7 linked regions of the Macaca mulatta genome follow. The protein of the gene in region 1 purifies or fractionates together with the protein of each later gene. This does not show direct contact. Links are inferred from orthologs where the notes say so. Each region holds a gene or a part of one and is shown on either strand. Other genes may lie near its edges. The genes, in order: DYRK1A, ANAPC4, KIAA0232, EP300, TRMT61B, PPP1R3F and RBL1.

Region 1 (2,256 bases):
AGAAGTGGGCATTGGCCAGGTGATGCAGACCGTTGTATCCATTTGGGATTGTTTTGTTTTTCTAAGTGCAGTGAGAAGTCATTAAAGGATTTTAAATAAGTGATTGGATTTGTGTTACGAAAAGATTGTTCCTGCTACCCTTTGGAGAAGGGCAAGGATGGAAGCAAGGAGTTCATTTAGGGGGCTGTTGTGTTAGCCTAGGCAAGAGGAGATGGTGGGGATGAAGAGAAGAGGCCAAATTTGGCATCTGTTTCATAGGTGGCCGCGTAAGTTCTTGCTCATGGGTTGGACAGAGGCATCGTTAAGCAGCTGGGTGTAGATAGTAGTCCTTTATTGAAAGAAGAAAGATGGAGAGAGGAAGGACATGAGGGATAAGTAAAGACTTCCTTTTGGACCTGCCTAGAATACTATCTGGCCTTTTTCGGGGAATATTTGCAGACCCCTAGCATAAACAGTGCTCCCAAGGTAAGACAGTGGCTAGTGAAATAGATGAACCTATTTAAGGATATAACTTTCTACAAATTGCAGCTTTCATGATGAAATTTTTTTGCCCTTGAATGTATTTGGGATGTTGTGTTATAAAACTGTCTAACACATTAAAAGTTTCAAAAACACTTAACCCGTGATTAATGTAATGCTAGTTTATGTCATCGCTTTTGATGGAAGATTAAAGCTTGGAAACAGTCCTCTGAAAAATCCTTTAAAACATCTGTTCTTTCAGGTGCGTCAGCAATTTCCTGCTCCTCTTGGTTGGTCAGGCACTGAAGCTCCTACACAGGTCACTGTTGAAACTCATCCTGTTCAAGAAACAACCTTTCATGTAGCCCCTCAACAGAATGCATTGCATCATCACCATGGTAACAGTTCCCATCACCATCACCACCACCACCACCATCACCACCACCATGGACAACAAGCCTTGGGTAACCGGACCAGGCCAAGGGTCTACAATTCTCCAACGAATAGCTCCTCTACCCAAGATTCTATGGAGGTTGGCCACAGTCACCACTCCATGACATCCCTGTCTTCCTCAACGACTTCTTCCTCGACATCTTCCTCCTCTACTGGTAATCAAGGCAATCAGGCCTACCAGAATCGCCCAGTGGCTGCTAATACCTTGGACTTTGGACAGAATGGAGCTATGGACGTTAATTTGACCGTCTACTCCAATCCCCGCCAAGAGACTGGCATAGCTGGACATCCAACTTACCAATTTTCTGCTAATACAGGTCCTGCACATTACATGACTGAAGGACATCTGACAATGAGGCAAGGGGCTGATAGAGAAGAGTCCCCCATGACAGGAGTTTGTGTGCAACAGAGTCCTGTAGCTAGCTCGTGACTACATTGAAACTTGAGTTTGTTTCTTGTGTGTTTTTATAGAAGTGGTGTTTTTTTTCCAAAAACAAAGTGCAAAGCTGCTTGAATCAGAAGGAGATTAACACACTGAACCGCTACAAGAGGGCAAAGCTGACTTTTTTTTTTTTTAACTTGAAAAGATTGCAAAGGGACATTGAAGTGTTTAAAAGAGCCATGTCCAAACCCATCTTCATGGATAGCTCAGAGGTATCCTCTTTTTGCTCCCCCATTTTAACTTGCCACATCCCAGTCATAGTGGGTTTTTTTTGTCTTTCTATTCAGCAAAAATATTCAGATGTTGGTCTTGGTCATCTGCCAACTAATTTTAAAATAAAAGGCACTGCACATAATTTGCATAAAGGGCCCATGAGGGTGTTTTTTTTTCTTTTTGTCCCCCCCACTATTTTTTTGTTCTGTTTTGTTTTGGGTGGGAGGGTGGGAAATTTGGGTTTTTAAGTCCTCTAAACACACTTGGGCACGGAAATGCAGTACTGTAAGGAAGAGGGACCTCCAGCTTCCACAAACACCATCTTCAGCTGTATGAAAGGGACGGTTGTGTTGAAGTTTGTCAGGCACAGTAAGCATGCTGAGTGGCGGGGATCAGAACTCTCCTATCTGAACCTACTGAGGATCAAAGCAGCAATTACATGGGATCCTGTGGCTCTCCTGTTGTAGAGGCCACAGGAAGATAGGATGGAACGTGACTGGTCTCCTAACCAAGGTGCACTGAGAAGCAATCAACGGGTCAGTCGTGGCCAGTCCTGGGGAGGTCTGAGTGGTGGTCTTTGGGATAACCTTTGGCCTTATGGATTTGGACTCGAAATTAGAAGAGCCTACCATTTCAGATGCAATCACTTTTGGACATGCTTTTGCAGACAGTCCTTAATGCTGAAAACA
Region 2 (3,835 bases), on another chromosome or scaffold:
TCTGACAGAAAATATTAGACTTTTTCTTCACATTCAATTTGTTCACTTTCTTTCTTTTTTGAGACACAGTCTCACTCTGTCACCCAGGCTGGATGGAGTGCAATGGCATGATCTCAGCCCGCTGCAACCTCTGGCTCCCGGGTTCAACCGATTCTCATGCCTCAGCCTACCAAGTGGCTGGAATTACAGGTGTGTGCACCACGCCCAGCTCATTTCTGTATTTTTAGTAGAGTTGGGTTTTGCCATGTTGGCCAGGCTGGTCTTGAACTCCTGACTTCAAGTGAGCCACCCACCCAGACTCCCAAAGTGCTGAGATTACAGGTGTGAGCCACCATGCCTGGCCCTGTTTTCTTTAAACACTAGTTCTGTACATAGCATTAAAGAGAAATCTCAGAAAAAATAAAGTGTATCAGAGTGACTGTATCACTAAGAGAAGATGAAGCAGAATATGAAAAAATAAAATTTACTGTTTATTTCTTTGTTACACAAAGAAAATTAAAGGTGGTCCAAGACATCTTAGTCCATCTCCTATGTCCTTCTGGCCATAATTACACACACAACAATGGCAAGCTAGATTAAGAGTCTAGCTCAGGGTCAAGTTTTTCCACTTTAATGACTATCTCCGGAGCGAAAGCAGCAGCACCAGCTTGTTGGTTCTCTGTCTCTGACTCCGACAACACTTCTTCCTTTATTTTTACAGGCTTATTACCAGCCTCCTCCTCTTCATCTGAAGACTCATCGAGCTCCCATTCATCATCTATGTCCATTTCAAATACTCTCACATGACGAAGATTTGAGCTTAACTAAAAAAGAAAGGCCATAAAAGCACTTTTAAATTAATGGCTTAACTAATATATCATATATAAGGAATTAGAAATCAGAAGTCTGAATCAAAGAATGGTTTTATAGGAAACATATTCCCATCAATTTACAACAAAATCAATAAACTCAGCCTTCATTTTGTATAAAAAGGTCTCCACATAACAACAGTGGCAATTTCATGAGATTAAAATCTAGAATTATTAACTGCTTAGTAAGCTTTATCAGAACGAGAGAATAGCTAAGTCCACATGACCATAATCAATACAAGCTATAAATCACAGCAAAAATATTTGCACAAAAGGACCTTACATGTCATGTATTTGATGAAGGTTCCAAAGAAGCAATGTTACTTCTTGTAATTTCTTAGTTGCTGAACGATCTGTAAACACTTACCACACAGGATACTTTTCGAAAACCATTCCCAGCAACATACTGTGCTTTCATACTTTCCAGTAATCTCCAATGCTTCTCGAAATGCATGGTACGGGTGGGAATAGCACTACATTGTTCATCTAGCCTAAAGAGGGAAAAAACCCACCCAGGAATGAAAAGGGGATCTTCTCCTCCCTAGTTTGCTACAGGTGGTATTAGGGTCAATTATGGCTTTGACTTCTACTCATACTTCCACTTCCAATATAATTTTAGCAACTGTTGTATTAAAAAAAGAGCTGTGATATAATATTCTATAAAAATTCCATATTCTATATTCTGGCTGGGCACAGTGGCTCATGCCTGGAATCTCAGCACTTTGCAAGGCCAAGGTGGGAGGACTGCTTGAGTCCAGGAGTTCAAGGCCAGCCTGGCCAACAGAGTGAGACTCCATCTCTGTAAAAAATAAAATAAAATTAGCCAGACAAGGTGACACATGCCTGTAGTCCCAGCTATGAGAGGCTGAGGCAGGAGGGTCACTTGAGCCCATGAGTTTGAGGCTGCAATGAGCTATGATTGCATCACTGCACTCCAACCTGGGTGACAGACACAAGCTCTGTTTCAAAAAAAAAAAAAGAAAATACTGCAATTCCAAATAGGCAGAATATCATTTTAGCAAGGTTTCTGACTCCCTTTCAAGGAAAGCAAATGGATACATTTTTAAATTAGAGATCTGCTTACTTAAGTCTCAGTTAAAGCCATCTCTTGGAATTGACAGTATACTTCCCACATGGGCACTGAGGTCTTAATTCTGGAAGGAAAATACTGAAGGCAAATCAAAAATAACTAATTCCAACCAACTAGGGTTAATGCAATCCTTGAAAACGTAACTAAAAGAAGTCCCATTCTCCACTCCAAATAATTCCCCACCTTGATTCCAGCAAATACTTCCTGATTTACTAGTAAAGCGAAGGGATAAAAAAAGCTATTAAGGCCAGCATATTTTGAATGAAAAATTGGAGCACTTCTGCTCAGCTACCTCTGTGGTTACCCCTAGTAATGAAATAACCATTATCTAGCATGCCTGAAAGGTTGGAATTTACAATGTGCATTAAAAAATATTTAACTGTAATATCAAAAAGACAATTTTACCAGTTACCTTGTAGAATAAGTCCCAGTGAACTGATATTCTGCAGAATCTTCACTGTTATATACTAAAGACAATGGCAGCTGGACCAAGAGTCTATCTCTTCCTTCACGTCCTACAGTGTCTTTGAGAACTACTGTTACAGTTTCATCATCATAAAACTGTGCATCTAAACAACTGTAGATGCTAGAATTAAAATAAGTTTCGTTATATCAAAGATGATCATGACTACTGAGAAAATACTGTATGCATGTCATACTGGCAGCAAGCAGAAAAAAATTTTAAAATTAAGTGACATTCTGTACAGTAACATTTAAAATATACCATTGGTTTGTATTAAAATCAGTTATTTTTTGTACTGATTATTCACATATATAACCAAATCTTAGAAATGGGTAATCATGACCCCCCAAAATCTGTGAAGTTGTTTCAGTTCTAGAAAACCCCTGGCCATCGATGGTTAGGCCTTAAGAAATTCTATGAATGACATACAAATTAAACCTGTGGAAATTCTATGAATGACACCTTATATACATGTTCAGCAAACAGAGTTGACTAGACTGAGAAATAAAAATAAGATACTACACATGAAAAATAGGCACAGCAACTCCAAAGACTTTATCATTAAAAAAACTTCTTTTATGTGAGGAAACAAGTGAGAAAAAGATCAGCCTATGATTAGTCACTTCTTTCCCTTGCGAAGTCTCAGGGATGGCTTAGGTACTGTTACCCTTTTGAATCCTAAGAAAATCTCCCATCACTGAGAATGGCATCACCTCATAATTTTTTTGGTCATAACAAGAACTTCAGTCCCGCAGGCCATCTGCCCACGGGAACCACATTACTTTCTTTGTCAACAGGGAGCTCGGGAGTAATTATACGAAACCATATGACATAAACTGCAGGGCAGTAAGGTTCTATTCAATCACAAGTCAAATCATTCTCTATGTATAAATACACAAAGAATCCTGCCCTCGATGTGGGAAGTGACAAAGCCCTTTTACCTATATTATCACCGTAACCGATCTGGCCCGATTCCTAAACATATACACACATCACTCAAACAAGATTCAAGACTTACCTTCTTCTGACTTTCTCCGTTGTGGCATATGTAAAGCTCCCAAATTTAATAGCAATTAGTCCATTACTCACGGATCTCCAAGAAAGAAGGGGGGAAAAAAAGACTCAGTGGAACAACCTGGATAGTCAATAATCCAAACACTTAAAAGAACATGATTGTCAGGGTCAGTACATTTACTTCTCTAGAACACTGAGAACTGGTTTAAACGCCTAGACAGATAAACCAACTTGGTTTAAAATCATACAGTCACCAAAGTAAACAGATTTATCCAAAGACATTTGGCATTTGGAATAGAAATAACCAAATTCTTTCTTTTTGGTTACATCTTGGTCTCAACATTTTCTTCAAATTCGGATTTAAAATCATTTTTAAGATACCAATGGCATTCTAAATATGATTTATTTTTCAGAACTTCT
Region 3 (3,500 bases), on another chromosome or scaffold:
AAGACATCTGTACCAGCTATCGTCACTACATCAGAAGCTGCACACTGTAACAAGCTTCCTTTTGTGTGGCTGGGTGGTACGACTGCCCATTCCCCATCACTGTTAAAGGTTTTGAGTTCTCCATAAACTCCTCCAAGAATGAATGTGTTCTCTTTATCTTGGGCTACATCCCAGGGTTTAGAGGGTGTTGTATAATCACCACCATCCACGTTGGATAGCTCACTAGAAGCAAATGCTCTTTTCTCCAGGCTCTCTTTCTGTCCCTCCCACAGATGGTACTCTGACCTTCGCACAGCCTTATCAGGCTCCTGAAGGGTCTCCAGTTCAGCTTCAGCATCTAGACAGCAGCAGTAGTTATTTACATCTGCCGAAAACAACTCAGCATCAGTTCTTTCTATTTCTACTGTGGCCATAGAATTTGTGTCTGCCATCTTTGTCCAAATGTCTTTAATAACCCCTGAGCTGTAGCCATCTCCATGTGGACTTTCGTTACACACTTGTGTAGTTTCAAAATTTTTGTTTTCTGTTTTTTGTTCTAGCTGAATACCACAGACGGATTCTAGTTTAGATGTTTTTTTGAAAACTAATGCAGGAATCTCACCTAAAGTTCTACTGTTTTGCTGGCAAGTTTCATCTTGCAAAAAATCTAGAAGTTCTTCATCTACATAATTTGATGAGACTCTAGGAACTACATAATTAATATCTTCGGCATTAAACTGTGTGGATTCTTCAAACTGAATATTTAATGTTTCATTGTCTGAACGTGTTTCTTCTGAATGGGACCATGGACTACAAGTTCTTGTTGAAAGATTAGAACAGTGTTCATTTTCTTCAAAGGCACTATTTTTGGTCCATATTAGCAATCTAGACTGTGTTTTCCCAAGCATATTAGCACTAGAATCTGTATTTTCATTTCCCAAGTTGAGTGTTTCAAAAGAAAATGGTAAAACAGAATTACTGCATTGCACTTCAAACACTGAAAAACAAGAGTTTATACCAGATCCTTCATTAATATCTGAAAAGAGCTCTTGATTGCCAGCAAGCAGGTGTGAATTGAGCACTGTGCTGTCTAAGATGGGAGAGAGTCTAACTGGAGAGTCTCCTCCAAAACTCTCCCCATCCGCATCACCAGAGCTGGATGAACAGCACTCCCAAAACTGAGCCAGATTGCCAAGGTCCTGCAGGAATAAGCCCTCAGCACCCACGGAGCTGGTAGAATCTGTCCATATTGCACGTTCCCCTTGCAACTCCATACCATCTAACACTATGCAACATTCTGCCTCAAAATCTGTGTTCTCTTTGCTTTTTTGTCGAATCATATTCAAAATCCGACTTTCTCCTTGCATTGTTTCTGAGGCACCAGGATCCAACATGGATTGATCAATATCCACTTCATAGAAGTGCGTTAATTCTGATAGATGAATATCATCCAGGTATTTATTGTCCTCTGGTAGAGAACATAATGAGGTCCCAGTGAGGTCAATATCCTCATTTATAACTGCAGGCATTTCTACAAAATGACCATCAATGAAAGTACCTGCTGCGAGGTATGTTTTATGAAGATTATTGTTGCTGATACAAAGACCGTGCACTGATTCAGACAATTCTTCCACTGCCTCTGATGTCAGATCACTTGTGTCTTGTCTGTTTCGGTATGTGGTCTCTAGTTTACTTTTTCTGCTCAGAGGAACAAAATATTCAGCAATTGGCTCGGTGTACCACAAGGGCTCCTCTTTATACTCTGTGTCGTTTCTGTTCTCCATGTACAGGTCTTTTCCTTCAGTGCTCCCAGGATCTTTTCTCCCTATTTCTTTTAAAGGTCTCTTACCCCGCTTGCACAGCTGTTTGACAGAACCACTGCTGCTACTGCTACTACTTCCAGTATGCATGTTTCTTTCAGCCTTTTCACCATGCTTCAAAGAAAGCCTGCTTTGCCCATTCCGCCCTTTTTTGTTTCGAATCTCTCGTGCCTTGTGTCTTACTTTAACATACTTCATGGATGCTTTTAATTCTCCCTGATTCCCACTGGAACTTGAGCCTGCTTCACTGGAGCCAGAAGACCATGAGCGAGGGCGAATCTTTCCTTCAGGTTTATGTCGGATTTGCTTTTTGTACAAAGCAGGCTTTTCTTCAATTGTGCCATTACTAAATTTGCTTTCCTTCTCGTTTTTACTTTTGCTCTGGGTTTTCTCATGCACAGTGGTGGGCACTTCACTGCTTCTTTCCTTGGTGACTTCACTTTCACTGTTGCAGTCCTTAGGAGAGGAAGTATCTGTGCTAGCTGGTGGGGCTGTGGATGATGAAGAAGAGCTAGAGTAAGAACAGACTTTAGACTTGTTCCACACCGTCATGATTTCTTGCAGGCAAACTGGTTTCTCAGAAAGCGGTGGAAATGCTTCGTAGTACCTAAAAAACAGAGTAAAGAGTTCAAAAAATGAGTATACAGATTTTTTAGTTACAGTAAAACAACACTACCATCCAAAATAATGGAATATTTCATTTTAGCAGTGTCAACATTCACATCATCCAAGAATCATTAACTTTACAATAATTTATAATACAGTAAAATATGCTTCAGATTAGTCCCATGCATCAAGCACCATTTTGCTCAGCACTGTGATACGCACTGTTAAGAATACTGAGAAAATATGTAAGATGATAGTTTTTATCTTCAAAGTTTGCGTTTTAATTAAGAAGTCAAAAAGGACAAATAACAGAAGAAAGAATGCAGTCTCTTCAGTAAGCAGTATCTGAATTTGAATCTCAGCTAAGTCACTATTGCTTGCGACTTTAAGCTCATTATTTACTGCTTTGGACTATTTCTTCAACTGCAAAATGGTGATCCTATGACTTACCTCATGAAGTTACTGTGAGCATTGAAAATATATGCAGTTGAAAAGCTCAGTAGCAAATCAGTCAAGAGTATGAGCTCTAAAGCCACATTCTCTGAGGTCAAATCCTGGCTCTGCCTACTTTACTAGCTGTGTGACCTTTGGCATGTTACTTAACCTCTCCATAGCTCAGTTTCCTCACCTAAAAAATAGAGCTAGTAATATTTACCTCTCAGAGTTCTGAGGAGTAAAGGAATTAATATGCAAAATGAGTCGGAAAAGCAGCTTTTTAACCGCTAGCATACTGCCTGGCATTGAAGCAGGCCCTCAGAAACGGTAGGAATGACCACATTCAAGTATTCAGAAAGAGGATATTGGTGAGGTCTAAAACAGTTAAAGTGGGCCACAACTAAGCGTTGGAATTCCAGATTTATTCCGCAAGTTTAGTGAGTACTACCTGTGAGGCCTGAGAACCTGTGTGAGGACACGAAGGCACACGTTATGCTCACAGAATGGAGAACTAATTAGAGCAGCGATCACTAGAAACGCAGGGTACAAAAAGCCAGGGAGGCTGGTTTCAGGGGGCTTGAAAATGAGAAAGTGTTTTTGATTTGCTAGGAAACTGGGAGCCACCGAAGATTTCAGAGCAGAACAGACTGCGAAAGGAAG
Region 4 (3,500 bases), on another chromosome or scaffold:
TCACAAGATACAAGATACTCATGTTTAGAGGGAGATGCAGTCAAGCAAGAAAGGAAAAGTCTTTCTTCATGACATCAGTATTTAATAAGTCAGGGACTAGACTAGATCTGGTATTGTCTTATACTACAAGGAGTCAGGGGCACACAACAGAAGACTCCTTCATTAAACTGCTTGGTATTTTAGACCCAAAGAAAAAGAGACACGTACTATTTTAATGACGAATGTTAGGTTTAAGTTTAAGAGACGGCTGGGCATGGTGGCTCATGCCTGTAATCCCAGCACCCTGGGAGGCTGAGGCAGGCGGATCATGAGGTCAGGAGATGGAGACCATCCTGGCTAACACAGTGAAACCCCATCTTTACCAAAAATATAAAAAATTAGCTGGGCGTGGTGGCGGGCGCCTGTAATCCCAACTACTCAGAAGACTGAGGCAGGAGAATGGCATGAACCCAGGAGGCAGAGCTTGCAATGAGCCGAGATCGTGCCACCGCACTCCCTCCTGGGTGACAGAGCGAGACTCCGCCTCAAAAAAAAAAAAAAAAAGGCAGGGCGCGGTGGCTCACGCCTGTAATCCCAGCACTATTGGGAGGCCGAGACAGGGGGATCACGAGATCAGGAGATCGAAACCATCCTGGCTAACACAGTGAAACCCTGTCTCTACTAAAAATTCAAAAAAAATTAGCCGGGCGTGGTGACGGGCGCCTGTAGTCCCAGCTACTCGGAAGGCTGAGGCAGGAGAATGGCGTGAACCTGGGAGGTGGAGCTTGCAGTGAGCTGAGATCGTGCCACTGCACTCCAGCCTGGCGATGCAGCGAGACTCCGAATCCAACCAAAAAAAAAAAAAAAAAAAAAAAAAAAAGACAAAGAAAGAAATTATTAAATGAGACAATGTGGGTACTCAGCACACAGGAGGTGAATGACAAATACTATTATTATTGCTATTCTTTCCTGCATTTTAGTCAAGGCTATTTACAAACATTTCTCTCTTGAAAAATAAGAAAATTTTTAGGGGATACTAACACACGGAACCCTGAAGAAATGAGGGGAACGACTAACTCATTGGTTGCTGCAAGTGAATATTAAAAAATAAAGAAAGGAAGAAAGAAAAATTATTAATAACAATGAAGAGACCAGGCCCAGGGCTTCAAGGTTAATGAAATCACATTAATGGCAACTTCTGAGGCCTAAGAGGCATGATTGCAATTCTGCCCTGGGTTTTTGGTTTCTTCATGTTATCTCCAGAACAAACGGTTTAAGAGACTCACTCTTTTTCTTTGACTGTCCTGGAGCTGGAGATGACTGGGTAGCTGAAGTACTTGGCTGATCTTCCTCCTCTTTTATTTCAGTTTTTAACTCAGTGCTTCTCTCTTCTGTTTCTGTAGGTTCCATTTTACAGTCTTCCACTTTAGACTAAAAGGTAAGAGTTTTTAGTATTCCAAAGATATCTAGTTGGGAATCAGTAGTCTGAACATCCTTTCTCATGCAAAATCTATGCCATGAGATCTAATTATCAAAGTATTTTTCTGTAATATTTTTTAAAAACTGGGTTCCTAGACTGGGGTCCTAACCAAATCAAACAGTAATTGCCCTACTCTCTCACCTCTGAAATATCCTCCGGTTGAGTATCTGCTGGTTCTGGTTGATCCACTTCCATTTTGGCCTCCATCTTCACTTCCTGGGAAGGCTGCTTCTCAGGAATGGCCTGAGAATTCACTTCTGCGCTACTAGTAGATGGAGGGTTTGACACCTGTCCTTCAATGCTTACAGCTGGCTGGGAAAGCTGGGCAGAAAAACAAGGGGAGTGGGTGACACACACACAGTGTTTGCCAATGATACAATCAGAATGTAAGGTAAGCAACAAGACAGCAGAATTAGCCACCTATTTCTTGGCTTATATTCATTCACGGTGTTTTCATTTGCTCTGCCCATTTCACCTCCTTTAATTATACTTAAGAACAGGAGAATTAAGACTTGTAAATACTGGTTGTACATCAAAGAGCCAGCAACTATTTCATTGATAACTATCATTATCTGGCAGTGTGTGGGGATTTCAAAGATGTCTGCTTCAGAGGAGCTCACATTTATACAGAAGCGAGTGAAAGAAAATAATAAAGACTGGCTATCTTTTTTTTTTTTTTTTTTTTGAGACGGAGTCTCGCTGTGTCGCCCAGGGTGGAGTGCAGTGGCCGGATCTCAGCTCACTGCAAGCTCCGCCTCCCGGGTTTTTATGCCATTCTCCTGCCTCAGCCTCCCGAGTAGCCGGGACTACAGGCGCCTGCCACCTCGTCCGGCTGGTTTTTTTTTTTTTTTTGAGACGGAGTCTCGCTCTGTCGCCCAGGCTGGAGTACAGTGGCCAGATCTCAGCTCACTGCAAGCTCCGCCTCCCGGGTTTACGCCATTCTCCTGCCTCAGCCTCCCGAGTAGCTGGGACTATAGGCGCCCGCCATCTCGCCCGGCTAGTTTTTTTTGTATTTTTTTAGTAGAGACGGGGTTTCACCATGTTAGCCAGGATGGTCTTGATCTCCTGACCTCGTGATCCGCCCGTCTCGGCCTCCCAAAGTGCTGGGATTACAGGCTTGAGCCACCGCGCCCGGCCCCGGCTAGTTTTTTTTTGTATTTTTTAGTAGAGACGGGGTTTCACCGTGTTAGCCAGGATGGTCTCGAACTCCTGACCTCGTGATCCGCCCGTCTCGGCTTCCCAAAGTGCTGGGATTACAGGCTTGAGCCACCACGCCCGGCCAAGACTGGCTATCTTTTTTGTTTTTACCTTCTCACCAGAGAAAATTTCAAAGATACAGAAAAGGAGACAATAAATATAATGATGTCCCACAGGGTGGCTGTTTGGAATCACTAGATTCTAATGAGATAACTGGCATTCTCTGTCTTTTCCCTAAGGCTTGTCATAAGAAACCTCCTAATGAGAAGTCAGTATTTTCTGGAACTACTTTGATTTTATAAAGAATAAAATCAAGCAGATCCACTGGTTCCTCTCTCATTCTGTCCCTCCTTGTCTATCAGAGGCCACGATGAACCAGTTGTCCATCAAGTACAGTACTTTATAAAATGGCTGTGACTCATGGGACTTCTCAGTTCATCAACGTGACTGAGAATATATTAGTATCGATATCAAAGTAGAAGCTTCTAAACCCTTAAAAAAAGTTATATTAATAAGGATTCAACTATTAGATAAGAATTTGGATTTTTATTATATACATAACCAACCTCTCACAAGGAAGCTACAGGTTGTTCTGGGTATATAATTCTCTCATCTTAGATAATTTTTTAACTTTGGTTAGGGCCACAGGGACTCATAAATCTGCAATTTTTTTTTTCTTTAAAGACAGAGTCTCACTCTGTCACCTAGTCTGGAGTGCAGTGGCGTGATCTTGGATCACTGCAACCTCCACCTCCCAGGTACCCACTACCACGTCTGGCTAATATTTCTATTTTTTTGTAGAGACAGGGTTGACCTGTCTCTGACCACCACGTTGGCCAGGCTG
Region 5 (3,500 bases), on another chromosome or scaffold:
GAGACCAGTTAGGGCAACACAGGGAGACCTTGTCTCTACAAAAAATAAAAAATTAGCCAGGTATGATGGCACACACTTGTGATCCCAGCTACACAGGAGGCTGAAATGGGAGGATGGCTTGAGCCCAGGAGTTTGAGGCTGCAGTGAGCCATGATCTTGCCACTGCACTCCAGCCTAGGGAACAGTGTAAGACCCTGTCTCAAAAAAAAGGTGAGGGGGCAGGTGCAGTCACTCGCACCTGTAATCTCAGTGCTTTGTGAGGCCAAGGCAGTAGGACTCCTGGAGGCTAGGGTCAAGGCTAACCTGGCCAACCTAGCAGGACCCCATCTTTATAAAAAATAGAAAAAAATTAGTTGGGCATGGTGGTACATGCCTGTGGTCCCAGCTACTTTGGAGGCTGAGGTGGGAGGATGGCTTGAGCCCAGAAGTTCGAGGCTGCAGTGAGCTACTGTTGCACTACTACACTCCAGTCTGAGCGACAGGGTGAGACCCTTTCACCAAAAAAATTTGTTTAATAAATTTAAAAAAAAACCAGTTTTTATTAATGTCATCCATAACATTCGTGTTGTGTTAACAAAAACAATTCCAATTATATGTTTGGCAAATGGGTCCTCCAATCTATTTCTAGCATAGTCCCTTTTTTTCCTTATATAGCAGAGCTCCCCTACCCCCAGGCTGAGGACTGGTACCAGTGCATGGCCTGTAACAGGGAACCAGACCACACAGCAGGTTAGCGGTGGTAGTGAGCATTACTGCCTGAGCTCCATCTCTTGTCAGCTCAGCCATGGCATTAGATTCTCATAGGAGTGCAAACTCCTGTGAACTGCGCATGCGCCAGATGTAGGTTGCATGCCCCTTATAAGAGACTGACTAATGCCTGATAATCTGAGGTGGAACAGTTTCATCCCAAAACCATCACCCTCTCCCCAATCTGTAGAAAAATTGTCTTCCACGAAATGGGTCCCTGGTGCCCAAAAGGTTGGGGACCACTGTTACACAGTATCTTAATTCTAAATGAGAAGCTCATCATTTGGTCGGGCACGTTGGCTCACGACTGTAATCCCAGCACTTTGGAAGGCTGAGGCCGGCAGATCACCTGAAATCAGGAGTTTGAGACCAGCCTGGCCAACATGGTGAAACCCCATCTCTCCTAAAAATATAAAAAATTAGCTGGGCATGGTGGCAGGTGCCTGTAATCCTAGCTATTTGGAAGGCTGAGGCAGGAGAATCGCTTGAACCCAGGAGGCGGAGGTTACTGTGAGCCGAGATTGCACCACTGCACTCCAGCCTGGGTGACAGAGCGAGACTCTGTCCCAAAAAAAATAAATAAGTTCATCATTTTGGGCTGGGCAGGGTGGTTTACGCCAGTAATCCCAGCACTTTGGGAGGCCAAGGCGAGCGGATCACCCGAGGTCAGGAGTTCAAGACCAGCCTGGCCAACATGGGGAAACCCCGTCTCTACTAAAAATACAAAAATTAGCCGGGCATGGTGGCAGGCACCTGTAATCCCAGCTGTTCGGGAGGCTGAGGCAGGAGAATCGCTTGAACCCGGGAGGTTGCAGTGAGCCAAGATCACGCCATCGTACTCCAGCCTGGGGGACAAGAGCGAGACTTCGTCTCCAAAAAAAAAAGAAGTTCATCATTTTATGCAGAGATTATATAGTAAATTCCTAACTGGTCTTCCTGCCTCTTGATTTTTCTCCAGTAGATCCTGTATTCTTCTGCCAGATTAATCCTCATAAAATGCCATTTATATCACCTTGGTGACACACCCTGGTTGCTTATCAGGCCGAGTTCTAATGCCTCATACTGGCATTTAGTTCTCTGCGTATCTCTCCTGAGATAACAAACTGTATTTATTCTACCTCTGCTTTGTTTAAAGCTGTTTTTACCTTGTGATTGTTCCCATAAATTGTCTACTCTTTGTCTTTAAACTAGGCCATCCTGCTGTTCTAAGAACTTATATTGTCTGTAATTTTGGTATTATTCTGAAGTGTTGCCTTATTTGTTAACTGATTCTTGGATCTCTCTTATTTCATCAAGTGAAATATAAACTCTGTAGGCAGAGTGCCTGTAGGCAGGTCCAGAGTCTGATTCGTTTTTTCACTCCCTTCTCCATACTCGACAGTGTAAGATAAGACTAGGCGCTTAGTACATATTTATTGGTCGCTGAGTCACCCATACTGTTTTCAATCATAGGATATTAGTATGATTCTCTTGATGATGGATATCAGCCCAGGTGATACTGTTTTGGAAGCTGGCTCAGGCTCTGGTGGAATGAGCTTATTTTTATCCAAAGCAGGTAAGAGATTGGACTGAGCTGGATCTCGGTAACAAAGAAAACGTTCAATTTGTTCATAATAACAGAAAGTTATGAGGATATTTGGGAAAATACCTAACATTGAGGTAGCATTCTCCTAGAATCTGAATGTGAGCACCTATTTTTCTTTCCATTTTGTACATTTATTCCAGTCAGTCTCTTTCTGATCCTCCCTCCATTTTCTTTGCTTTGTCTTGTTTCCTTCATGCTCTCTAATGCTGCTGCTTTTTTCTTAAGTATACGTTTTATTGGAATATAACATAGCTACAGACAAGTGTGCAGATCGCAAGTGTATACCTCAGCGAATCTTTGTATAGTGACCACTCGTACTTATTCCCCAGATCAAGGTAAGGAGTGTCTCTGCCCCACAGATGCCTCCTCATGTCCCCTCCCAGTCCTTATCATCACCAAAGGAAACCACTATTGTGACTTTTATCACCACTGATTAGTTTTGCCTCCTTTGAACTTATATAAATGGAATCATACAGTATGTACTCCTTTGTATCTGGCTACTCTTGTTCATCATTATGTTTGTGAGATTCACTCATTGCATACAGCAGTAGTTCTTTCATTTTAGTTGCTGTATAGTACTCTCTTCACAATTTACCCATTTACTGTTGATAGACATTTGAGTTGGATATTATAAATAGTGCTGCTCGGAACCTCCTTGTGTACTTGTCATGTTATTGTTGAATAATAGTGCCAGATGAATACTTAGCCTGAGGGAATATGGAAGGAGGTTGTCAGCTGCTGGGGGGAGAGTTAGACATCGTTAGGACCAAAGAATTATAGTAGGTGTTCATAAAGAAATTAATCATAGTACAGAGCTGTTAAGTAAAAAGCTACATTATGAAGAATTATCTCTTTTTTTTCCAGAAAGTCTCTAAAAATTGTCAGTTGATAAAAGTACTGCTTGAAGGTGGGTGTCTGATCAAAAATCAAGAGGTGTATATTAAACATACATTTTTTCATGTTCCTACCACTTAATTTCTGGTTACTTTTATGCTAGTTGATTAGTACCCCTTTGCCTACCTAATTTCTCTGAGTGTCAGGGTTGTTTTGGGTGGTCTGACTGTCTGTACAGTGTTCTCTTCCCTACATAATGATAAACTGTTGAATAGTCACAGTACTTTCTTTGAGTAGATTTTATAAAGATTACAGACAGAAATATGCTGAAATT
Region 6 (3,500 bases), on another chromosome or scaffold:
ACATTGGGAGGCCGAGGAGGGTGGATCACCTGAGGTCAGGAGTTTGAGACCAGCCTGGCCAACATGGTGAAACCCCGTCTCTATTAAAAATATAAAAATTAGCTGGCTGTGATGGTGGGTACCTGTAATCCCAGCTACTTGAGAGGCTGAGGTAGGAGAATCACTTGAACCTGGGAGGCGGAGGTTGCAGTGAGGTGAGATCACGCCATTGCACTCCAGCCTGGCGACAAAACGAGACTCCATCTCAAAAAAAAAAAAAAAAAGTTTCATCCATTGCCAGAAGTATCAAGAACGTCACATTGCCTCTTAGGAAGAAAAAGGTGTAGGCAGTCGCCCCAGCTCCTCTCAGGTCTCTGAACATGTTTTAGTCAATGCTTCCCTCATTTGCCTTAATCTGTAGACACTTGATACTCATTTTCAGAATAAGAACAGTGACTTCTCCATGATGAGATCCCACCCCTGGGAGGACCCACCTGAAATTTACTTGGCTTATGCCACTCAGGGATCTGACTGGCCTGGCGAAGGAGGAAGAAGACCCATAAATATCTACAGTTGATTCAATCCCTGCTGTGTGTCAGGCCCTGATTTCTACCTGTCCGTCCTCATTCCTCTTGACTGCCTTGTGCTTAGTGCACATCCTGACTCCCCGCGGCTCTGTTTTATGTTTTATGAGTGAGGAGGTGAAGTGACCTGCCAGGCTGATATGGGGATGGGAGGGCTAGCATAGGGACCCAGGCCTCTGTGACCTCCCTCGCAGTCTCCATTTGCATTCCTCTGCCTCACAATCTTGTCCGCCTGCCCTTAGAAAAGGTTTTTATTTATTTATTTTTTATTTATTTATTTTTGTGAGATGATCTCTCACTCTGTTGTCCAGGCTGGAGTGCAGTGGTGCGATCTCAGTTCACTGCACTCTCCACCTCTCAGGTTCAAGCGATTCTCCTGCCTCAGCCTCCCAAGTAGTTGGAATTACAGGTGCCCACCACCACGCCCAGCTAATTTTTATATTTTTAGTAGAGACGGAGTTTCACCATGTTGGTCAGGCTGGTCTTGAACTCCTGACCTCAGGTGTTCCACCTGCCTCGGCCTCTCAAAGTGCTGGGATTACAGATGTGAGCCACTGCGCCTGGCCTTTTTTGTTTGTTTGATTTTTGAGACTGAGTTTCACTCTTGTCCCCCAGGCTGGAGTGCAATGGCGCGATCTTGGCTCGCTGAAACCTCTGCCTCCCAGGTTCAAACGATTCTCCTGCCTTGGCCTCCCAACTAGTTGGGACTATGGGTGTGCACCGCCATGCGTGGCTAATTTTTTGTATTTTTGGTAGAGACAGGGTTTCATCATGTTGGCCAGGCTGGTCTTGAACTCCTTGAACTCCTAACCTCAAGTGATCTGCCTGCCTTGGCCTCCCAAAGTGCTGGAATTACAGGTGTAAGCCACCACGCCCAGCCAAAAAGATGGGTTCTTCTATCTTTTCTCTTTCCACAGCCAGGAATATATCCTAAAGAAATGATACAAGTGTCGATAAAACTATGCCCAATGCTGTTTGCTGGTTTGCTTTGCGACCTCTAAATGAAAGAACCTAGCTGCTCAGTAGGAAGGGGATGGTATGATATGAGTATTAAGCAGCCATTTGAAATGTTTGCAAAAGTATATAATGATGTTTCTTACTGTTAAATGGACAAAGCTAGCTGTGAAATTATATCTGTAGAATCTAAATGATTTCATAGAATATCTGGAAGGAAATTTTCCAGAGTGGTAACAGTAGTTGTCTCTGGCTGATGTGTGATTGTTTTTCTTGCTTCTTTAGACTTTTCTGTATTTTGTGAATTTTCTATAAGGAGGCTGTAGGACTTTTAGGATGAGGGGATAACCAAAGGCAGCAGAAGAGAAAACAGCAGCTGTCAGGTGAAGGTGGGCTAGCACAGAGGCTCAGAAGGTGCCAGTGGGTGGCAGAAGTGACCTCTCAGGGTATTAGATCCATGTACTCTCTTCTGCCCCACAGGCCTGCTGAGGAGGAACTGAAGACGAAGAACATGGATGATAACACCCCTGCCGTGGGTAAGCAATTGGCCAGCTTCGGAAGTTTTAGCTTGTATTTACCATGTCTTTCTTCCTACTGTTTTTCTTTCTATAAAAATGAAAAAGGCTGGGCTCAGTGGCTCATGCCTGTAATCGCAGCACTTTGGGAGGCTGAGGCAGGAGGATTGCTTGAGGCCAGGAGTTCAAGAGGAGCCTGGGCAACATAGTGAGACCTCATCTCTTAAAAAAAAAAGAAAAAACAAGACGGGCATGCTGGAATGCACCCGTAGTCCCTGCTACTGGGGAGGCTGAGGTGGGAGGATCATTTGAGCCCAGGAGGTTGACGCTGCAGTGAGTCATGATTGTGCCACTGCACCCCAGCCTTGGTGACACAGCGAGACCCTATCTCAAAAAAAAAAATGAAGGGGCACCCTCTGCTTTAGATTGTCACAGAAAGCTTCAGAGGCAAAACTGCCAGTTGGCTAGGATGGCAGATTTTCTTAACAAAACCATACCTACTTATATGCCTGTCTTGCCCAATGCTGCCTTTCTCTTCCCTCTAGCAGAACATCCTGATGTCCAGGAGTCAGTGGGTCCACTGGTGGCCCCCACCCCTCTCCGTCCGTGGCCCCAGATGACACTTCAGGTAAGTGGGTCCTTGCAGCCTTGGAGTGGACAGCCCAATAGGAGGCTCACAGTGTAACTATTGCTGGGCTGGGTGGTGGGGCCCACTAGTTCTGGGTCCTCTCTGGGTTAGAGGGAGGGCACAAAACTCAGAACCCGATGGGGGAGGGGGAGAATGCAGTTACTCACCTGGGCTTGTAGAAATGTCATTTGTTAATTTAGCAAAAATTTATGGAGTGCTTGCTCTGTGCCAAGCACTGTTACAGACGTGAAAAATGCTCTTCGAGGGGGCTTATGTGTTAGTAGGGTGAGACATGATAAAATAATAGAATGTATGGTACTTTAGGTGATGATGAGTGATAAGGAAAAATATAAAGGAATAGGGAGTGGGTGAGAGACTGTGTGTGTGTGTTGTTGGGTGGGGGGGTTGCAACTTTAGATTGGGTGGCCTGGGAAGGCTTTAGTGATTAGTGAGATCTGAGCGAAGATCTGAGGAAGGTGAGAGAGTGAGCCACGTGGATAACTAAGGGAAGAACATCCCAGGTGAGTGTGAAGTTCCTGAGGTGAGGCCATGACTAACGTGTGTGAGGGACAGTGTAGAAGCCAGTGCAGCGGGGGCAGAACGAGGGAGGGGGAGAGTGGTGCGGGGTGAGGGCAGAGAGGTGGCTGAGGACAGATTGGGTGGCACCTCACAGGCCATGGTGAGGACTTTGGCTTTTACTCCGAGTGAGGGGGAGCTGCAAGAGCATTGTGGACGGAGGAGGGACGTGATCTGATTTAGGATTTAACAGCCTCCCTCTGGCTGCTGCTTGGAAAATAGACTGTCAGAGCGAGGGTGGAAACTGGCGACCTGTGAAGGGGA
Region 7 (3,500 bases), on another chromosome or scaffold:
AAGCTCTTTGCAGGAATACTTTTCATAAAAAACAGACTTTCGAAAAAGTACATTCTCTTAGTTTGTATCATAATCTTTTTGTCAATTATGTAAGGATTAAGGGCTCACCTCTGCTTCCGGCTTCGCAGTAACTTTGGTGGTTCTTCATATGGATTTTGAAATATATCTAAAAAAATTGGCTCATATTTTTTGAATATTACAGTAGACACCTCAAAATTTCTCTCTAGCCTTTCTATACGTTCACGAAATTCTTGTGGTAGATTTGACATGTCCATCCACTTCTTCATTTTACTAAAAAATTGTATTAAACTAAAAAAAAAAAAGGGAGGAGAAAAAAGTCATCTTTAAAATTCATTTATATAACGGATTGAAAGGAAATATTCTATTCACGACTAAGATTCTTTATTAAAAAGCCAGACCTCCCAGGCAACATAGTAAGACCCCAACTCTACAAAAATTAAAAAAATTATCTGGGTGTGGTGGCACGTGCCTGTAGCTCCAGTTACTCCGGAGGCTGAGGTGGGAGAATTGCTTGAGTCTAGGATGTCGAGGCTGCAGTGAGCCTCGATCATGCACTCCAGCCTGGGTCACAAAGCAAGACACTGTCTCACATGAACAAAGAACAAACACCATCCCTCAAGCCTAAATTTAATTAAAAAAAAATCCTCATTATGAAACCACTTTGGTTCCCAGGATCACCAGGAGAATACAGGTTATTAATTAGTGGTCATCACATAGAGCCTTACTTCTATGGAGGGAGCAAGAGCGCCTATCTACTTCCTTTATTCTCTATATTACCTAGACAGTATTCTGCATAAAATTTACAAAGTTAATGTTAGTTAACAGATTGATAGGTTATAAAATTAGTTTGAGGAAAAACAGAAGTCTCCCAAATGGAAAGACAATTTCATTTTCCAAATGGGAATTTGATTATGAAGCACCAGATTGTTATAGGTTAGGAGTAAAACTCAAGAGTTTGAGTTCCAATGCGTGGTTCCACCACCAAAAGTAAAGGTAGCACATACTCAGAAAAAAACTTAATAGCTCTGCTGCCCAGGCTGGAGTGCAGTGGCACCATCTTGGTTCACTGCAACTTCCACCTCCTGTGTTCAGGCAAGCCACCGCGCCCAGCCCAATTCTGGGTATATTTTTTTATGTCTGTATGTTAGTGTGGTCTTAGATAGAAAACTTGCAATGTCAAAGCTCACTTAATTAAAGGTCTAGCAATATACACAGAATAATACTTGTAATTTTTTTTTTTTTTTTTTTGAGATGGAGTCTCACTCTGTTACCCAGGCTGGAGTGTAGTGGCATGATCTTGGCTCACTGCAACCTCTGCCTCCCAGCTTCAAGCAATTTTCCTGCCTCCACCTCCTGAAAGCTGGGACTACAGGCACGCACCACCATGCCCGGCTAATTTTTGTATTTTTAGTAGACGAAGTTTCACCATGTTGGCCAGGATGGTCTTGAACTCCTGACCTCAGATGATCCAACTGCCTCAGCCTCCCAAAGTGCTGGGATTACAGGCGTGAGCCACTGCACTCGGCCCTATGTTCTGATTATTTCATGTATATTGGAAAGGCTTACTTAAGTCCATTTTGCCCAGCCAATACTTATAATTTCTTTTTAAGGTGACAGAAGACATTAACAGAAAATTATCCAATGCTATGTAATATGGTTTGGATGTTTTGTCCCCTCCAAATCTCATGTTGCAATGTAATTTCCTTGGCTGGGCATGGTAGCTCATGCCTGTAATCCCAACACTTTGGGAGGGTGAGGCTGGAGGATCATCTGAGTCCACCAGTTTGAGACCAGCTTGGGCAACACAGTGAGACCTCGTCCCTACAAAAAATGTAAAAGTTAAGGCCGGGCGCGGTGGCTCAAGCCTGTAATCCCAGCACTTTGGGAGGCCGAGACGGGTGGATCACGAGGTCAGGAGATCGAGACCATCCTGGCTAACACGGTGAAACCCCTCTCTACTAAGAAATACAAAAAACTAGCCGGGCGAGGTGGCGGGCGCCTGTAGTCCCAGCTACTCAGGAGGCTGAGGCCGGAGAATGGCATGAACCCGGGAGGCGGAGCTTGCAGTGAGCTGAGATCCGGCCACTGCACTCCAGCCTGGGCTACAGAGCGAGACTCCGTCTCAAAAAAAAAAAAAAAAAAAAAAAAAAAAAAAAAAAAAAAGTAAAAGTTAGCAAAACATGGTGGTGTGTGCCTGTGGGCCCAGCTACTCAGGGAGCTGAGGCAGGAGGATCACTTGAGCCTGAGGGGTTGAAGCTGCAGTGAGTCATGAACATGCTATTGCCTGGGCAAGAGAGTAAAAGACTTTCAAAAAAATAAAAAAGAGGCCGGGCGCGGTGGCTCACGCCTGTAATCCCAGCACTTTGGGAGGCCGAGGTGGGTGGATCACGAGGTCAGGAGATTGAGACCATCCTGGCTAACAAGGTGAAACTCTGTTTCTACTAAAAATTAGCTGGGCATGGTGGCGTGAGCCTATAGTCCCAGCTACTCAGGAGGCTGAGGCAGGATAATGGCGTGAACCCAGGAGGCGGAGGTTGCAGTGAGCCGAGATTGTGCCACTGCACTCCAGCCTGGGCGACAGAGCAAGACTCCGTCTCAAAAAAATAAATAAATAAAAATAAAATAAAATAGAATAAAAAAGAAAAGTGACCTCCAATGTTGGAGGTGGGCCTAGTGGGAGGTGTCTGGGTCATCAGAGCAGATCCCTCATGAATGGCTTGGTGCTGTCCTCATGGTAATGAGTTTAGTTGTCACTCACCTGAGATCTGGCTGTTTAAAAGTGTGGCACTTCCCACCCTCAATTGCTCCTGCTCTCATCATGCAATGTGCCTCCTCCCCCTTCACCTTCCACCATGACTGTAAACTTCCTGAGGCCCTCACCAGGAGCAGATGCCAGCCCCATGCTTCCTACACGGCCTGCAGAACCCTGGGCCAATTAAATTTCTTTTTTTAAATAAGTCACTCAGCCTCAGGTATTCCTTCATAGCAATGTAAAATGTCCTAATACAGCATTCAAACTCCGGACATGCTGATTAAAATCTGACACTCTTAAGAACCTCATTAAAAGATTCTTATCAATAGCAGCAAAACATTCGTCAGATTACTAAACATTTTTTTGGCTTACAAAAAATTATGCTCCCTTACAAAGGACTTCAAAAATGTTGTTTTTTGGCCAGTGCAGTGGCTCACACCTGTAATCCCAGCACTTTGGGAGGCCAAGGCAGGTGGATGACCTGAGTTCAGGAGCTTGAGACCAGCCTGACCAACATGGAGAAACCCTGTCTCTACTAAAAACACAAAATTAGCCAGGCGTGGTGGCGCATGCCTGTAGTCCCAGCTACTCGGGAGGCTGAGACAGGAGAATTGCTTGAACCTGGGAGGCGAAGTTGCGGTGAGCCGAGATCGCACCATTGCACTCCAGCCTGGGCAACAAGAGCGAAACTCCATCTTAAAAAAAAAAAAATTGTTTTTATATTTGG

What was found.
Region 2: the proteins of DYRK1A (region 1) and ANAPC4 purify together in Homo sapiens (affinity purification with mass spectrometry; 3 studies listed by BioGRID and IntAct, with this or other methods). This does not show direct contact. The link is inferred for Macaca mulatta from reciprocal best matches to the Homo sapiens genes DYRK1A and ANAPC4.
Region 3: the proteins of DYRK1A (region 1) and KIAA0232 purify together in Homo sapiens (affinity purification with mass spectrometry; 3 studies listed by BioGRID and IntAct, with this or other methods). This does not show direct contact. The link is inferred for Macaca mulatta from reciprocal best matches to the Homo sapiens genes DYRK1A and KIAA0232.
Region 4: the proteins of DYRK1A (region 1) and EP300 purify together in Homo sapiens (affinity purification with mass spectrometry; 4 studies listed by BioGRID and IntAct, with this or other methods). This does not show direct contact. The link is inferred for Macaca mulatta from reciprocal best matches to the Homo sapiens genes DYRK1A and EP300.
Region 5: the proteins of DYRK1A (region 1) and TRMT61B purify together in Homo sapiens (affinity purification with mass spectrometry, with the first as the bait; 3 studies listed by BioGRID). This does not show direct contact. The link is inferred for Macaca mulatta from reciprocal best matches to the Homo sapiens genes DYRK1A and TRMT61B.
Region 6: the proteins of DYRK1A (region 1) and PPP1R3F purify together in Homo sapiens (affinity purification with mass spectrometry; 3 studies listed by BioGRID and IntAct, with this or other methods). This does not show direct contact. The link is inferred for Macaca mulatta from reciprocal best matches to the Homo sapiens genes DYRK1A and PPP1R3F.
Region 7: the proteins of DYRK1A (region 1) and RBL1 purify together in Homo sapiens (affinity purification with mass spectrometry; 3 studies listed by BioGRID and IntAct, with this or other methods). This does not show direct contact. The link is inferred for Macaca mulatta from reciprocal best matches to the Homo sapiens genes DYRK1A and RBL1.

Annotation. Positions count from the first base shown.
Region 1 is NC_133408.1:9,954,260-9,956,515, reverse strand, and holds the end of DYRK1A (dual specificity tyrosine-phosphorylation-regulated kinase 1A), read left to right. Parts: intron 1-721; coding exon 722-1,342; 3' UTR 1,343-1,756; downstream 1,757-2,256. UniProt on the Homo sapiens protein: Dual-specificity kinase which possesses both serine/threonine and tyrosine kinase activities. Exhibits a substrate preference for proline at position P+1 and arginine at position P-3.
Region 2 is NC_133410.1:24,433,668-24,437,502, reverse strand, and holds the end of ANAPC4 (anaphase-promoting complex subunit 4), read right to left. Parts: intron 3,495-3,835; coding exon 3,420-3,494; intron 2,525-3,419; coding exon 2,351-2,524; intron 1,340-2,350; coding exon 1,216-1,339; intron 804-1,215; coding exon 576-803; 3' UTR 501-575; downstream 1-500. UniProt on the Homo sapiens protein: Component of the anaphase promoting complex/cyclosome (APC/C), a cell cycle-regulated E3 ubiquitin ligase that controls progression through mitosis and the G1 phase of the cell cycle.
Region 3 is NC_133410.1:6,174,698-6,178,197, forward strand, and holds part of KIAA0232 (uncharacterized protein KIAA0232 homolog), read right to left. Parts: intron 2,407-3,500; coding exon 1-2,406.
Region 4 is NC_133415.1:10,362,740-10,366,239, forward strand, and holds part of EP300 (histone acetyltransferase p300), read right to left. Parts: intron 1,781-3,500; coding exon 1,601-1,780; intron 1,411-1,600; coding exon 1,266-1,410; intron 1-1,265. UniProt on the Homo sapiens protein: Functions as a histone acetyltransferase and regulates transcription via chromatin remodeling. Acetylates all four core histones in nucleosomes. Histone acetylation gives an epigenetic tag for transcriptional activation.
Region 5 is NC_133418.1:96,108,020-96,111,519, forward strand, and holds part of TRMT61B (tRNA (adenine(58)-N(1))-methyltransferase, mitochondrial), read left to right. Parts: intron 1-2,199; coding exon 2,200-2,302; intron 2,303-3,500.
Region 6 is NC_133426.1:49,355,546-49,359,045, forward strand, and holds part of PPP1R3F (protein phosphatase 1 regulatory subunit 3F), read left to right. Parts: intron 1-1,997; coding exon 1,998-2,053; intron 2,054-2,577; coding exon 2,578-2,660; intron 2,661-3,500.
Region 7 is NC_133415.1:89,931,709-89,935,208, forward strand, and holds part of RBL1 (retinoblastoma-like protein 1), read right to left. Parts: intron 310-3,500; coding exon 109-309; intron 1-108. UniProt on the Homo sapiens protein: Key regulator of entry into cell division. Directly involved in heterochromatin formation by maintaining overall chromatin structure and, in particular, that of constitutive heterochromatin by stabilizing histone methylation.